2 linked regions of the Caenorhabditis elegans genome follow. The protein of the gene in region 2 purifies or fractionates together with the protein of the main gene of each other region. This does not show direct contact. Each region holds a gene or a part of one and is shown on either strand. Other genes may lie near its edges.

Evidence for each region. The genes of interacting proteins can lie anywhere in the genome.
Region 1: the proteins of ego-1 (region 2) and znfx-1 purify together in Caenorhabditis elegans (affinity purification with western blotting, with the first as the bait; one study listed by BioGRID). This does not show direct contact.

Annotation. Positions count from the first base shown.
Region 1 is NC_003280.10:9,211,860-9,216,738, reverse strand, and holds the start of znfx-1 (NFX1-type zinc finger-containing protein 1 homolog), read right to left. Parts: upstream 3,038-4,879; coding exon 2,871-3,037; intron 2,824-2,870; coding exon 2,618-2,823; intron 2,569-2,617; coding exon 2,454-2,568; intron 2,410-2,453; coding exon 2,323-2,409; intron 2,273-2,322; coding exon 2,177-2,272; intron 1,527-2,176; coding exon 1,088-1,526; intron 977-1,087; coding exon 656-976; intron 610-655; coding exon 1-609. Other genes in the region: ZK1067.4 (Transmembrane protein 151 homolog), read right to left, coding at 3,715-3,897, 3,941-4,336, 4,418-4,568. UniProt on the Caenorhabditis elegans protein: Epigenetic inheritance factor which, in association with the Argonaute protein wago-4, mediates small RNA-directed transgenerational epigenetic inheritance and thus balances the transgenerational inheritance of epigenetic information.
Region 2 is NC_003279.8:7,650,322-7,658,204, forward strand, and holds ego-1 (RNA-directed RNA polymerase), read right to left. Parts: upstream 6,018-7,883; 5' UTR 5,952-6,017; coding exon 5,844-5,951; intron 5,801-5,843; coding exon 5,636-5,800; intron 5,592-5,635; coding exon 5,217-5,591; intron 5,168-5,216; coding exon 5,027-5,167; intron 4,949-5,026; coding exon 4,814-4,948; intron 4,769-4,813; coding exon 3,587-4,768; intron 3,543-3,586; coding exon 3,165-3,542; intron 3,117-3,164; coding exon 3,005-3,116; intron 2,957-3,004; coding exon 2,514-2,956; intron 2,447-2,513; coding exon 1,973-2,446; intron 1,928-1,972; coding exon 1,748-1,927; intron 1,700-1,747; coding exon 1,561-1,699; intron 1,514-1,560; coding exon 984-1,513; intron 935-983; coding exon 565-934; intron 513-564; coding exon 346-512; 3' UTR 20-345; downstream 1-19. Other genes in the region: F26A3.4 (Protein-tyrosine-phosphatase), read right to left, coding at 6,911-7,033, 7,088-7,195, 7,296-7,395, 7,609-7,883.

The DNA.
Region 1 (4,879 bases), on a different chromosome or scaffold from region 2:
TTTGCGTTTTTCTTCACAATTTTGAGGCGAAACGAATTTATCATCTCGTGAGTGCTCACTGACGGTGCCACCGCCGTTGTGAAACCCCAAGTGATTTTCCATAGATGTTGATTCGTTGTACTGATATTGATCTCTTCTATCATCTGCTCGTCGAGACTGTCTCGAGTCATCGCGATATCTTGATGATTCATCCTCATGTCGTTGTTGTTGTTGCTCATCGAGCCTTCTGTGAACTTCTCCAAAATTGTCCGGGCTTTTATGGCGACGGTTTTCTGTCCGGTAGTTATCACGATGTCCGAACTCGTCTCTGCGTCTGTGATCGACGAAATCCACCTCGTCATGACCATAAACATTGCTGGAACCTGCACCTCGACTTTCAGATAAAACTTGGCGTCCACTGTCAGAAGAACCAGCTTTTTCGTACACTGAATATGACCGCAGCGCCAATGGACTGGGGTTTCGTTCCCGTTCTGCCCGTTTGATCCATGTTTCAATGTAACCAATCAGCCTCCTAAGATTTCTAAGCTCATCATCACCCACACCAGCTTCCTCAAGTCCATCCATGTCAGCAATATCGAAAGCCATCGAGAAATCATGCCAAGACGGCGCCTATAATAATGTTTACTTTTAAAATTTTCAGTTTATTTCAACTTACAAATCTCGGAAGTGTCAGCATGAATCCACCCTTGTATCGAGCCGTTGTGAAAAACAAATGAAAGATTTCGAATAGCAATTCTGTACCCTCGGGAGTCCACGTGTCATTGTCAAACGAGCTTTCCAGGAATTTACTTTTGAGCTTCAGTAGAAAATCCTTTTCGAACAATCCGCGAATAATTGCTTTACTGTGATCCCGAACAATACTTTTTCGAGAACTGATAGCATAATTGACAACGTAGAGAAGTTCTAGATTGTGAGCTAGTTTTACAAACGGACGTTCGAACCGTACGTATAGTTTTGATCCGTTGATGAGCTTGGACTGAAAATTAAAATTTTAATATTAATTTCGTGTTTATTGAAGATTAGTTTTCCGGAAATTGCCGAAATAACTCACAGGTTGCAGTTTATCACAAAAATGAATAGATCTTACCAACTCAGAATCGTTCTTTTGCGGAACTCCTCTAACAAGGATTTTGGTTTCACACACGTTCCGCGCAGCATGTACATCTTCAGACGATAGAATATGATCTCCTTCTTCTTCCTGAACTTCTTCATCGCGGAATCGACGCCTCGAAGATGAACTATTCTCGCTCATTCTCGAAATGGTACTATGAGCTTGCTCGAATTGATCATTCTGATGATTTTGAAGAGATATTCCTGGTGGAGTTGGAAGAGATATTCCAGGTGGTGCTGGAATTGACAATCCGGGTGGTTGAGGGGTGGAATAACGGGATTCGCGTGTATCTGCTCGGGGAATTGGCGAAACTGAAGATAATCCAGGAGGCGAACTGTTTGAAATCGAAATTCCAGGCGGCGGGAGCCCTGGGGGGGCGAGGTTTCTGACCATTGAATACGGTTGGCGAATTGGTCTGAAACAAGATAATTTAATTATACATTATGAGAGAACGCGGAGAGCTCTAGCATTTTAAGAAAAAGTATTTTCTAACGAAATCAGTATGCCCACAAAAATCCGCGTTTACTACAGTGAAAAGGAACGCGGCCAGGTTTCTGGGGAAAGATGGGAACACGATAAATGTGGTTTTTTTTCCGCTACCACGATTCACGTTGTTTATGAAACGAGAATAAAAACAAAAGCCACTGCGATTATCAATGATTTAACAAAGGTCACCAATTCTATTATATATTTTTAAAAGCAATATCAGGAATTCAGGAAAAATTATTGATGTTATTGAGAAAAACAATCGAAAATTTTGAAATAATTATTCGTTAAATCCTGCGAGTCAAGGGAATATTTCAGTATTTCCAAACACACTGTTTAACAAATTCTGATGTGAAAACATGCTTATTCAGATTATTTTTTTCGAATTTGTGAAAAAAAAGCATATCAATCACAGGGGAAGCAACTAGTCACGGTTTTTCTGTTTTTCTCTACGTCTCGAACTGTCTATCTATGTTGGACGTGTGGAAAAAGAAAGAAATAGCTAGGCCATAAGTCTAATATGAACGAAGAGATATTGCAAAATTTTTGAATAGAAAGTTTACAACATGGTAACGATACCTTGTTTCGCGTTGATCTTGTGCGATCTGCTTGTGAGGGGCGTCTTCAACAAAGTCTTCGGTCGATACAATCGAACTCTTTCCAAAGATGAATTCTCTATGAAAGTTAGATGTTTTTTAATTATTTTTTCCTTCTAGATAGCCTACTCTGTTTCTACCTCCATGGGCATCGCGATGGATTCCGTCAGATTTTCCACTCCTTTGATGAACTGTGCAAATTTAGAGCAGTCACTTCTGAAATATGAATTTTTTCGACGTTATGCTGAACATTTACTCACTCCAGTTCTTCATACTCCATTTCGTTGATCCAGTTGAGAATTTCGTTGCGTTTCATATGGAAGATATAACAAGACTCCCTAAACATATCCAGCATGTTTTGGACTTCGTCTTCGTCTGTATGAGTGAATATTTATACACGTTATGTATAATTTACTTTTCTTACCGCACTGGTCTAAAATGAAAAAAACAACCGGAGTCGACAGCGGTCCTTTTTCATAGATCGTTTCACACTTCTGCAGACCTTCCTCGATGAGCTTTTTCAGAAGAAGATAATCTTCCCTGACTTCTTGATATTGCAGGAATTCCCGTTCATCATCGAGAAGAATACCTACTTCTATCATCGAAGTGTGACACCTTTTCACGAATTTCCTGAAACAATACGTTTTTTCAATAATTTTTGAATAATTTGAACGTACATGAAGTGCTCTGATGAGAACTCGCTTGTCGGATAGCCGATTCTGAAGCACATCCACGGACGCCGGCGCTGTCCGCGGAACGGGTCTTCGTCGAACTTCAACGAACCCATTTCGTAGGGCAACCGACGTCCGCCAACCTCACGTTGAGGTGGTTTATCTCTGGACATTAGCTTGTCAGATAGATGGATTGGTTGGTTTGAAGTATTTATCTGTAAAAGAAATAATTACATCAAATAAAATGGCCATATTCAAGATTTTGCGAGAGTATTGGAGTTTTTTGTTAAATTTTCAAGCAAGACTTTGTATTTCGTGAAAAATGTGATTAGTGAAGCATTGCCTCACGGAATCAGAACGAAATTAAAACTGGTAACGGAGTTTTTTGGCCTAAAAACCGAAACCGTCAAATCCTAAAATTTTAAACAAAGAAACATGTGAATTTCTTGAAGATTTCATCAAAAATACTTCTGTAATAGTGAAAATGCGTTGCCCAGTGATTTTTAATACAAATTTTGAAGAGAAAAATGGAGTTTTAACATCAAAAATACGAAAACTGAACAGATAAATAACTGAATAAAAAAAAATTTCCGCGCCAATACTTCCAAGGGTACTGTAGTTTTTTATATTTCGTGCCGAGACCATCTCCTCGTATTCAGTGGACGCTCCTTTAAAAATTGATTGCTTTTTACCATTTAATAAGGCAATAAAAACAACGCTTTTAATCGAATAACTTGAAACACAATTTTTTTAAACTTGAAAATAAAAAAAAATCAGAAAAATTATTTATTTCAAGCACCAACGTTTAACAATTCTTAAAATTGGTCCGCATGTGAAAAAATACCCGATTTTATGGATGTTCTGGATCATCGTTATTATTGTTGTTTGAATTATTGTTATTATTGTTACTAGAACTACTTTTCAAAGTTAGCGACTTCAAATCCTTCGAGCTCGAGTGAGAAATTGAAGCCAATCGTGAAGATATTGATCGTCGTAGGCGTTCATATAATGGAGCACACATTCTGAGAGCAACCTGAGAAATAAATTGTCATTTCCATTATAAATTGAAAACCGACCTCATATGGTGGAGGTGGTTCATCTGGTTCAATGAGTAGTTGTGAATCATCAGGATTTCCAATTTCTCTGTAACCATTGGACCAAGCAGAAATACCACCTATCGATAACGAACGTAACGGCAAATTCCGCCGACTCGATGGAATAGCACGATTTGCTCTACTTCCGTTTTCTAAACAACTCAGATTCTCAGCTGATTCTTCGAGATTTCCTTGAGCAGCAAATGTCATACTTCGGCTAACTCTAAGAGGTCTCGGCGTTGCTGTAATGGGCTCAGATAGTGAATTGTCGGTTTCTGTTGCTCCATAGTTCCGAAGTACGATATGTTCGTTAGTTGTACTCACGAATGGTCGTGGAAGAATCACAGGGTCCAGGCATCGAATATTTGGATAATTGGTCTACAATATTATCAGAGCGATTAATAAATATTTATCAGGAGCAAATGATCTTAAAATTTTAATATTTAAAAAAAACCTTACATTTGAATTAGCAATCGTATTTTGCATGAGCATAACTTCACTGTACGATGGTACAACGAAATGTTGTTCTCTCCTCAACAATGCCTCCAACTCAACAGTATCCATAGTTGATGTTCTGGTTAATGGCCCCGTGTAGTTGACCGAATTCGGACTGGAAAATGTATTTGAAAAATAAATACTTATACTACTTTTCTATCTTTTTTTGCTGTAGCTAATCTTTTCTTCCTGCCAAATGCCTAATGATTGATGGAACTCAACGTTTTTGAGCCACATCCCTTTATTGAAGAAAATTCGAAAACACTATTTTTGTGGCTATTTTAGGCAACTTCTTGTAGAAATATAAATTTTATACACTTCGCATATGAAAATGCTCTATATGACTGACACTTTCTGTTCCCGCCAGGTCTTTTCTCTCAACAGAGGAAAACGGCGTGCAGTCGATAGCTCAGTTGGTAGAGCGGA
Region 2 (7,883 bases):
TTTCAATTTTTCAAGAAATCTGGCTATATTCTATCCAATAGGAAAATCATGTACGAAAAAACGCATATAACAAATAAAATACAAATATCGGATTCGTAATAAAACAGACAATTCATTGAAACAGATAACCGAAACGCTGAAAACGATGAAAAGAAGGAGAAACCTATCCATTTCAATCAATCAGCAAAAGAAACAACAGGAAAATATAATGAGAAAAAGAAACAGAAATAAGCATGCCAATTAAAACATGCAAAAAAAAAACAGAAAAATAAAATTTAAAATGAAAACCATATTAAACATTTAAAATCTCTGAAAACACTGCTAAAAACGAATAAGAGAAACATTCTAGATGTTGATGTGTCCTCTGACAATCTTTTCATAGCACAATCGAGCCATCTGTGTAGACACATCTTGTCCCGTTACGTACGTTTTGATGGGAACTTTTACAGCAACCAGTTGACGCAACTTGTACATTGACTCGAGAGTTCCACGTGTAGAAACCAGAAGACGCACTATAATAATTTGAAAATTAAATCTGTTTACCATTCGATTTTGTTAACTCACTATTGATTTTTTGCACATCATCCGAAGAGCGAACTGATTTCTCCATGTTTCGCATGAATATCTCTTTTACACCAGTATGCTCTACCAGCTTGCGATGAACCAATGAACGATCACAATTGGCTGGTAATTCAATCACGAACGGTTCGTTTTCTCGAATTATTGAACGAACTGTAGTTGTTGGATCAGTTGACACAGGAAGTTCTTCGAATCGTAAATTGAATAACACGTTGTAGTAGGTTTTGAGTGCGGCCAAATGGAAAATTTGCCATTCTCCTCGCATGAAAATTGATGAGAAATCAAGAGCACAGAATGAGAGATTCGCCATTTTTCGGAACTTTCGCGAGGCCAAAAATTCGAGAAACTTCACCATCTGAAAACAGTCATTATTATAAAAAAAATAACACAAATATTCTTCTCACCATCTGACTTTTTCCTTTTTCCTCAATATATAAACTGGGCTCAAAGTCTCCAATTGTTTTACTCTGCTTGTAACTTTTCTCATCGACCTTATTGAAGAACTTGGCAGCATTTCCATCAACGGAAGAAAATTGCCTTGTAGCAAACAGGATAAATAGCAGTGATAAATGATATTCTCGAAGTGATTGATTTTCAAATAGATTTGAAATCCGTGCCCATTCGTCTAACATGAATAAGACTGCATCCAATCCTGGATAAGTTTCTGTGTACATTTTGATGATTCTATGAGCTCGTTTCACTTGTTCTCCACTAGTTTTAGGTGTTGAAAATTGTCGAAAAGCTTCGAATTTTCTCGAGTTATCGACAAGATACTGAGATCTGTGGTCGTCAAGCATTGTGTACAATGGATTTGCTCCACCCATCTTAACTTCGTCACTTGTAAGACTTTTGTCTTGTTTCACTTTTGCGATGACGTCATATGCGAGCCAAGCGAACGACAATTTCTTGTTTTCTCGAGTTATTCGAGCTTCCTCTGAAATTAAAATAGTATTTATTTTTATTTCAAGTTATCCAACTAACCATAGCAAGCTCTGTACCAAGCTACGGCCTTTTTCATCATCTGCACTGTCGGAGCACGACATTGTCGTTGAAGAATATTACTATCACGTCCGTAACGAGAGAATGCTTCTGTGTTACCTTCCCAGCCGCCTTCGAATTCCTGAAATTACGCATGTACACATATGTAACTGGCTTAGGAAAGCTTTACTTCAAAAAATATCTCTCGGTATTTCTTGAACAAATTTGTCAATTTCGTCTCGATCATCTGGTTTGTGTTGAAGAATGACATATCATCTTGATCCTTATCCGAAATTCTGTTTCGCATGTCAACAATGCATCCTGAGAAGACTTCACCTTCTGTTTTGATTCCATAGTTTTCCATCATTGACTGAAAAAACATGGTCATCTTTCAACTATTTCTCCTAAAACTCACTCTCAACTGAGCATTATATCTTGCTAAATCGTTTTTTGCACTAGCCATATATTCCGTATATCCATCAATTTTGATAGTTTCATCTATAGAAATCTCCACTTGCTCGTCTCGTTCTTCCGAAATTTTGAGTACATCATCAATTGCTTTGAACTCGCGAAACAGTTTTCCACACAATCTTGGACTGACATACATTGGAGTATGGTCATTTCCCATGTGATAATCAGGTACTCTTTCAGCTCTTTCAGGTGGAATCATTTCGCCAGTTTCTTCATCTTTTCTCCATTTCCTTTCAAGTTCATCAGGTGGTTGTCCAGACTTAGTGAAGTCCACAGCTTGACAATTTTTCTTCGCCAAATCCATGCAAACTCTTGCGTTTAATCCATATTGGTCAGAATTGTGAAGATGACTATTCGAGATTTGTCCAACGGAATCCAATTTCAAGTACTTGACATAGAACTCACGCATCAAGTCATCCTGAAAATATTATTTATTGCGACTAGAATTAAATATATTTATGTAATCTCGTTAAAACGAAACTCACGATTTCATCTTCTTTAAAGCTCGCCTTCTGTTTCTCTGAAGTGAAATCATATGGATCTTCATTTTTGTCCAGAAGCAACTGTTGATCCCAAATGATAGAATATTCATCTCCATCCAAATCAGATCCAGCCATTTCATCAGGATGAGGCCTCGGTCCATGTTGTGGGAATACTACTACATCACACATGTGATGAAGTTCTGGAATATCGACAGCCTCGAAAATCCGAACATCTCCGGCAACAATGCATGGATTTTTGGTCAAGAGAACCGTTCCTGTAAGAACTTGTCGCGCAGCGTTTTTGGGTGGAAGTTTCAGGGCCAGATTTTTGGTATACTGTACGAAGATTTGACCATATTGAAGACGCCCAGTCTCGTCAACGACTCCAAGCATTGACCGTCCGAGATCACACGGAATGGGAATTTGTTCTTTTCGGAGTTGTCTGGCTGTAACAAATATGGTTTGTTTAAAAAGCTTCATTCGTTTAAACTTACTGATTGAGAACTTGATCGATGCTTTGATAAGAGATCGGAAAAATGGTTCGCTAGACAATGTGAATCCCCATGTTGTTCTCAAGTAGTCAATATCTACGCGACGAGGTAGCTCCTGAATAATAACAGTAATGAGGATACTATCAGTAATTTAATAACAAACCTTCAGTCGATTTCTGCAAAAAGTTTCATCCACCATTTGTTGGGCAAAAGAAAGCATTTGTCTGTCCAGTAACTCTTCGATTCGATTTGTTACTCTTCGATGACATTCCAAGGATTGCATTTCCGAAACTTGATCGAGAATATTGATGAATGGCTTGTTTAATGCCACTGGAACTGGCGATGAGTACTTGACGATTTCCACTTGATCACGTGGGTGTCTCTTTGAAATAAATTTAATTTGACTTGGGCGAAACATACAGTTCAAGCTCCACGAACTGTCATCGCTCGGTTTGCTGATATTATACGAAATTGACCACTGGCGAAGATTGTCAAGAAGAGGTTCGATTGAGATGACTCCTTTCATTCCACGGAAACGAAACTGAAAAAAACTATTAAGAAACACCAAAGAAAAGATTATGGTACCTGAAAGCAGCTGGGAACACCTTTTCCAAAATCCATAACTTCTGAGACCATTTGAGCAAATCGATAACTCATCATTCCAACTCCATCAGAAAACGTGTATTCATCTCCTTTCAAATTTTTTCCTCCAGTCAAATCGTACGTTGTCATATACGTGCATCTTTCCAAATTCACTCCTGACAATCTGCTTTGTGTAAAACACTGTCCAAGACGAGCCATCATTTTTGGAATGTTGTCAATAGTCTCGAATCGTCCCAAATTCTTTCGAGCAGCTTGGATCTTTGGATTGAAAGTGATTGGTGGTTTGATTTGATATATCCGTTCGTATTCTCTGCACTGTGATGATGAATATTTTTCCATGAAGTAAGCACCGTTATCTCTCATTTGTGAGTTCGAGCTTCCTAAATAGCCGAAATTACGACCAGCAACAGTAATTCCATTTTTGAGATATTGATTGACGGTTTTTTCAAGCATAGTCGAAGTTTTATTCGTTCGCATTTTCTGATTATCATCATCTCGGAAAGTGATTCTTAGAACTCTTGTTCCATCATGGTCGTATCGTCGCAGTACTCGATTTCCCATCAACGTCTCCGGTGCCACATAGATAACACGAGTCGGTGTGAAAATAATCTTTCGAACTCTTTGATATCCCTCTCTCATTTCTTCAGTTGTTAATCCATTAACCAGACTGTTTCTCTGTCTCGTTTGACAAATTCTATCGAAACACTTGATCAATGATCCAATTCGTTTTCTACCATCGATCATGTGAACCAAATCCTCAAGTCCGGCCTCACAAAGTTTGTCATCTTTCGTGTAGTAGTGGAGAATCACTTCAAGGAATCGGTGCCATATTCCTTCATCAAGCAAAATTTGATCCTTAACCACTGCTCCTCTCGAAATCAGACATTCCAGGAGATAAGTGATGGCGAATTTTCTTTCCCTGTTGGTGTCAACTTCTCGAGAGCCACATACTTCATGTTTCTTTGGAAATGCGGTCGTGATGAAATCTCTGTAAATAGGCGCAGAGAAATGAGTGGGCGACAGATGTTGATTATTTAGGAATGTCCAACGGTTATAAGGATTCTCTCTCCAAATGAGACAGTCAATCGAAGGAATGTCCGCGAATTCAATGGAAACTCCAGTACGGATGCGAAGTCTTGAAAGTAAGCGGTAGATTTCATTGAGCTGGAATAATTACACGTAAAAACTTGATGCATATTGAATTATTACCCCAACAGATTGATCAAACTCGATTGTGAACACAGGACTATCCGTTATTGCTTTAGCTGTTGGATACTGATTCGCGCTTCGTCCACGATTGATCACCAAATATCTTCGATAATGTGGGACGGAGTGCCGATTTTCCTGAAAATTGTAATTAACATCTTATTTCGATATTTCATAATCGCGAAATTTCATGGTTTACGGCTTGGGTGTGCTCACCGATTCCTGTTTTGCCGTTCGGTAGGCTCTTCTAATGAGAACAGGACAATTAAGTTCGAAATGTACACGAATCCGATCCGAACCATTACAATCTTGAACGACAGGATCAACAATAATCCGACGAATAGAAGTTCTCCTAACCTGAAAGTTTTTGTTATGATTTTTATTCCCAATTCTATTGAAAACATACTGTAATCTGGTAATACATGGTAACTGTTTGTTTGGTCCTCTTCGCATCTTTATCAGCAACCTCAAAATCATTTTCAAAGTGCTTGAAGTGAACTGTCATAAAATCAATTTTATCGAATTCGAACTCCACTTTGATTTGGTTCATTCCAATTTTATCGGCTTGTGTTGGTTCAGTATTCCTCGTTCTTGCCGACTTCCGACGTCTAACGTCATCCCAGAAAGACACTTCCCAATGATTAATGAATGTTCCGCCTTGAATATTTCCAAAGAAAACAGCGGCAAGCGGAATATCAACCAAATGACATGTCAATTCGGAAGACCAAAAATCGGAACTGTGAAGAACGAGATTTCCACGTTGGAATGGCATAAGATGATCCTGGAAAAGTACGAATACGATAGAAAGTTTCGACAGCAACAAACCGTTGATAAATCTTTTAAATATGTCTGGATCGCCGCAATTAGATCATGTGAAAACCTGCTGGTCGCAACTTCATAATTTGTTTCATAAAACGGCTCACAATCTTGCTCTTCGACAACCTGAACCTGTCCTTTTGTCAAAACCTTGATGTTGTATTCATTCAATGCCTAAAACAAAAAAAATGATTGATGAACACATTGTCTAACTTACTGGCTCTAATTTTGCTACATGGCATTTAACTATGGGTCCCATTTGCCGCTCTGGCAGAGAACAGGGAATTTCGAGTTTAATCCATCCACGATAACCTTCGTCCCCCATTGTTGCGAGGATTCGGGATAATTTTTGATATATCTTAGGCTAAAATCGTTTTGAGGTAGATGGTCTGTAAGAAAAATATTACAATTTCAACATTTTAGACCATGGTTACACGGATTTTAAATTTTTAGATAAAAAAAGAGATTTTCTGGTTAGAATTGCAGCGTTAAAAATATTCGATTTTTTAAAATTACGTTTCACTAGACTAAAGCATCATGAATCATATAAAATAAATGAGAAAACAGAAATATTTGGGCATTTGGGATGAAAATTGATTCAAATTCGAAAAACGTTTCTGGCGCGCTATCGTATCTGCCCTGTTCGTTGCGAGACTTGTAGTTCACAACGATTTAAGCTCCTTTGAAGGCAGCGGCATTTTGAAATCGAATTTCGAATTATTAACCTTCTTCTTCGCAGTTTTTAGCTATGAGCGAGAAACAAATAAGAAAAAAGTGGCACGCGTTATAGTTCAAAAATTTCGTTGTCGCGGTGAGACAAGGGCTGTTGTCTTTTGGGCTTTGGTTTTTTTGGCAAAAATGGGAGAAAAAACTTTCACAAGTTAATTTTTAGTCGGGACGAGGAATTCGATTTTTTTGTATTTTTATTAGTCCAAAGTCCGAATAGTTTTTAAATAATCTGCATCTCCAATTTTTCTAATGATTATTTTACGAGAACTTGTGTTTGAATGGAAATTCGCAACATGAAGATAAAATTAATAAATCTCAAAATTTATTTACATGGCACCGGAAACTACAGATTTCGACCCGTATTTCTGATATAATTGAGAGAGGAATAGAATAACATTTGAAAAGAAATTGAAATTGAACAACTAAAGCACTGACCCGTTTCAGGGAAAAAAAGTGGTAATTGCGCCTAATTGGTGTGCATGGTGGGAGGTGGAAAGGGAGGAAAACAGAAAAAAAACAAGAAAATATGATATGAAATATGGAAAATAATGATAATCAGCAAACAGCTTCAGCCATTTCCATCACAGGTTCAAGCACTGGACGGAATTTAGATTTGAATCCAGAATTTCGGCGTTCTCGTGGCTCATCTGGGATCATATTTGGATCTTGCTCCGGGCTCTGAAAATTAAAAGGGTCAATTTCTGTAGTTTGAAATATGATTTGTAAACTTACAGCTGGTCTAGCTGGAATTGCAATATTAAGATAAACATCGGGAAGTAATTGTTCTGGTTGAGCTTCATCTCTCACCAATCGAACAGAACCAGCATTTTCTTTGACGTTCTGTAAGATACAAATTATAAACTTTGGACCTAATGATAAGAAAATAAGAATGATCAAACTAGATTTTGAGTGTTTATGTCTTTAACTTTCAGTTACATACCTGTTCATAAGCAATAAGTTGGCGCCAGAAACCAAGATTTGGACGAACCATTGAACGCTTTGATTTCATCAAATGATAAGCTTCACGAAGATTTCGGCAACTGGAAATAGATCAAAAATCAATATGTGCATTCTATTTTAGTTCATGGGAAAACATCAGATTCATTAGTTTTTGTTTTCCGGCACGTGCTCTCTTCCCATTTATTGGATACTTATGATATCACATGAAAGCACATGTCCAATAGAATTTATAATAGGGGAAAGCACTGAGTTTCTGGACTATTTTTGGTTCTAACTAAAACAAGATGACATACCGATATTTGAGCAAGAAAGCCAAACAGATGGAAGCAGAACGTGACACTCCGGCGACACAGTGCACGAGAACTTTTCCCCCATCAGCAATGAGTGCTTGAATCTGATCAGATTGAAGTTCAAGATGTGGATAGATATATGTCTGTGGAGTATCTTCAAGCCAAAGTTTTGTACGTTGAATGTCTCCAAGACTTCTGAGATTTGGAACTTCTGTTGTTGCATTTATGATATGTGTGATCTTATGTTTCTTCATTTCATCTTTGCTCAACGCAGAAAC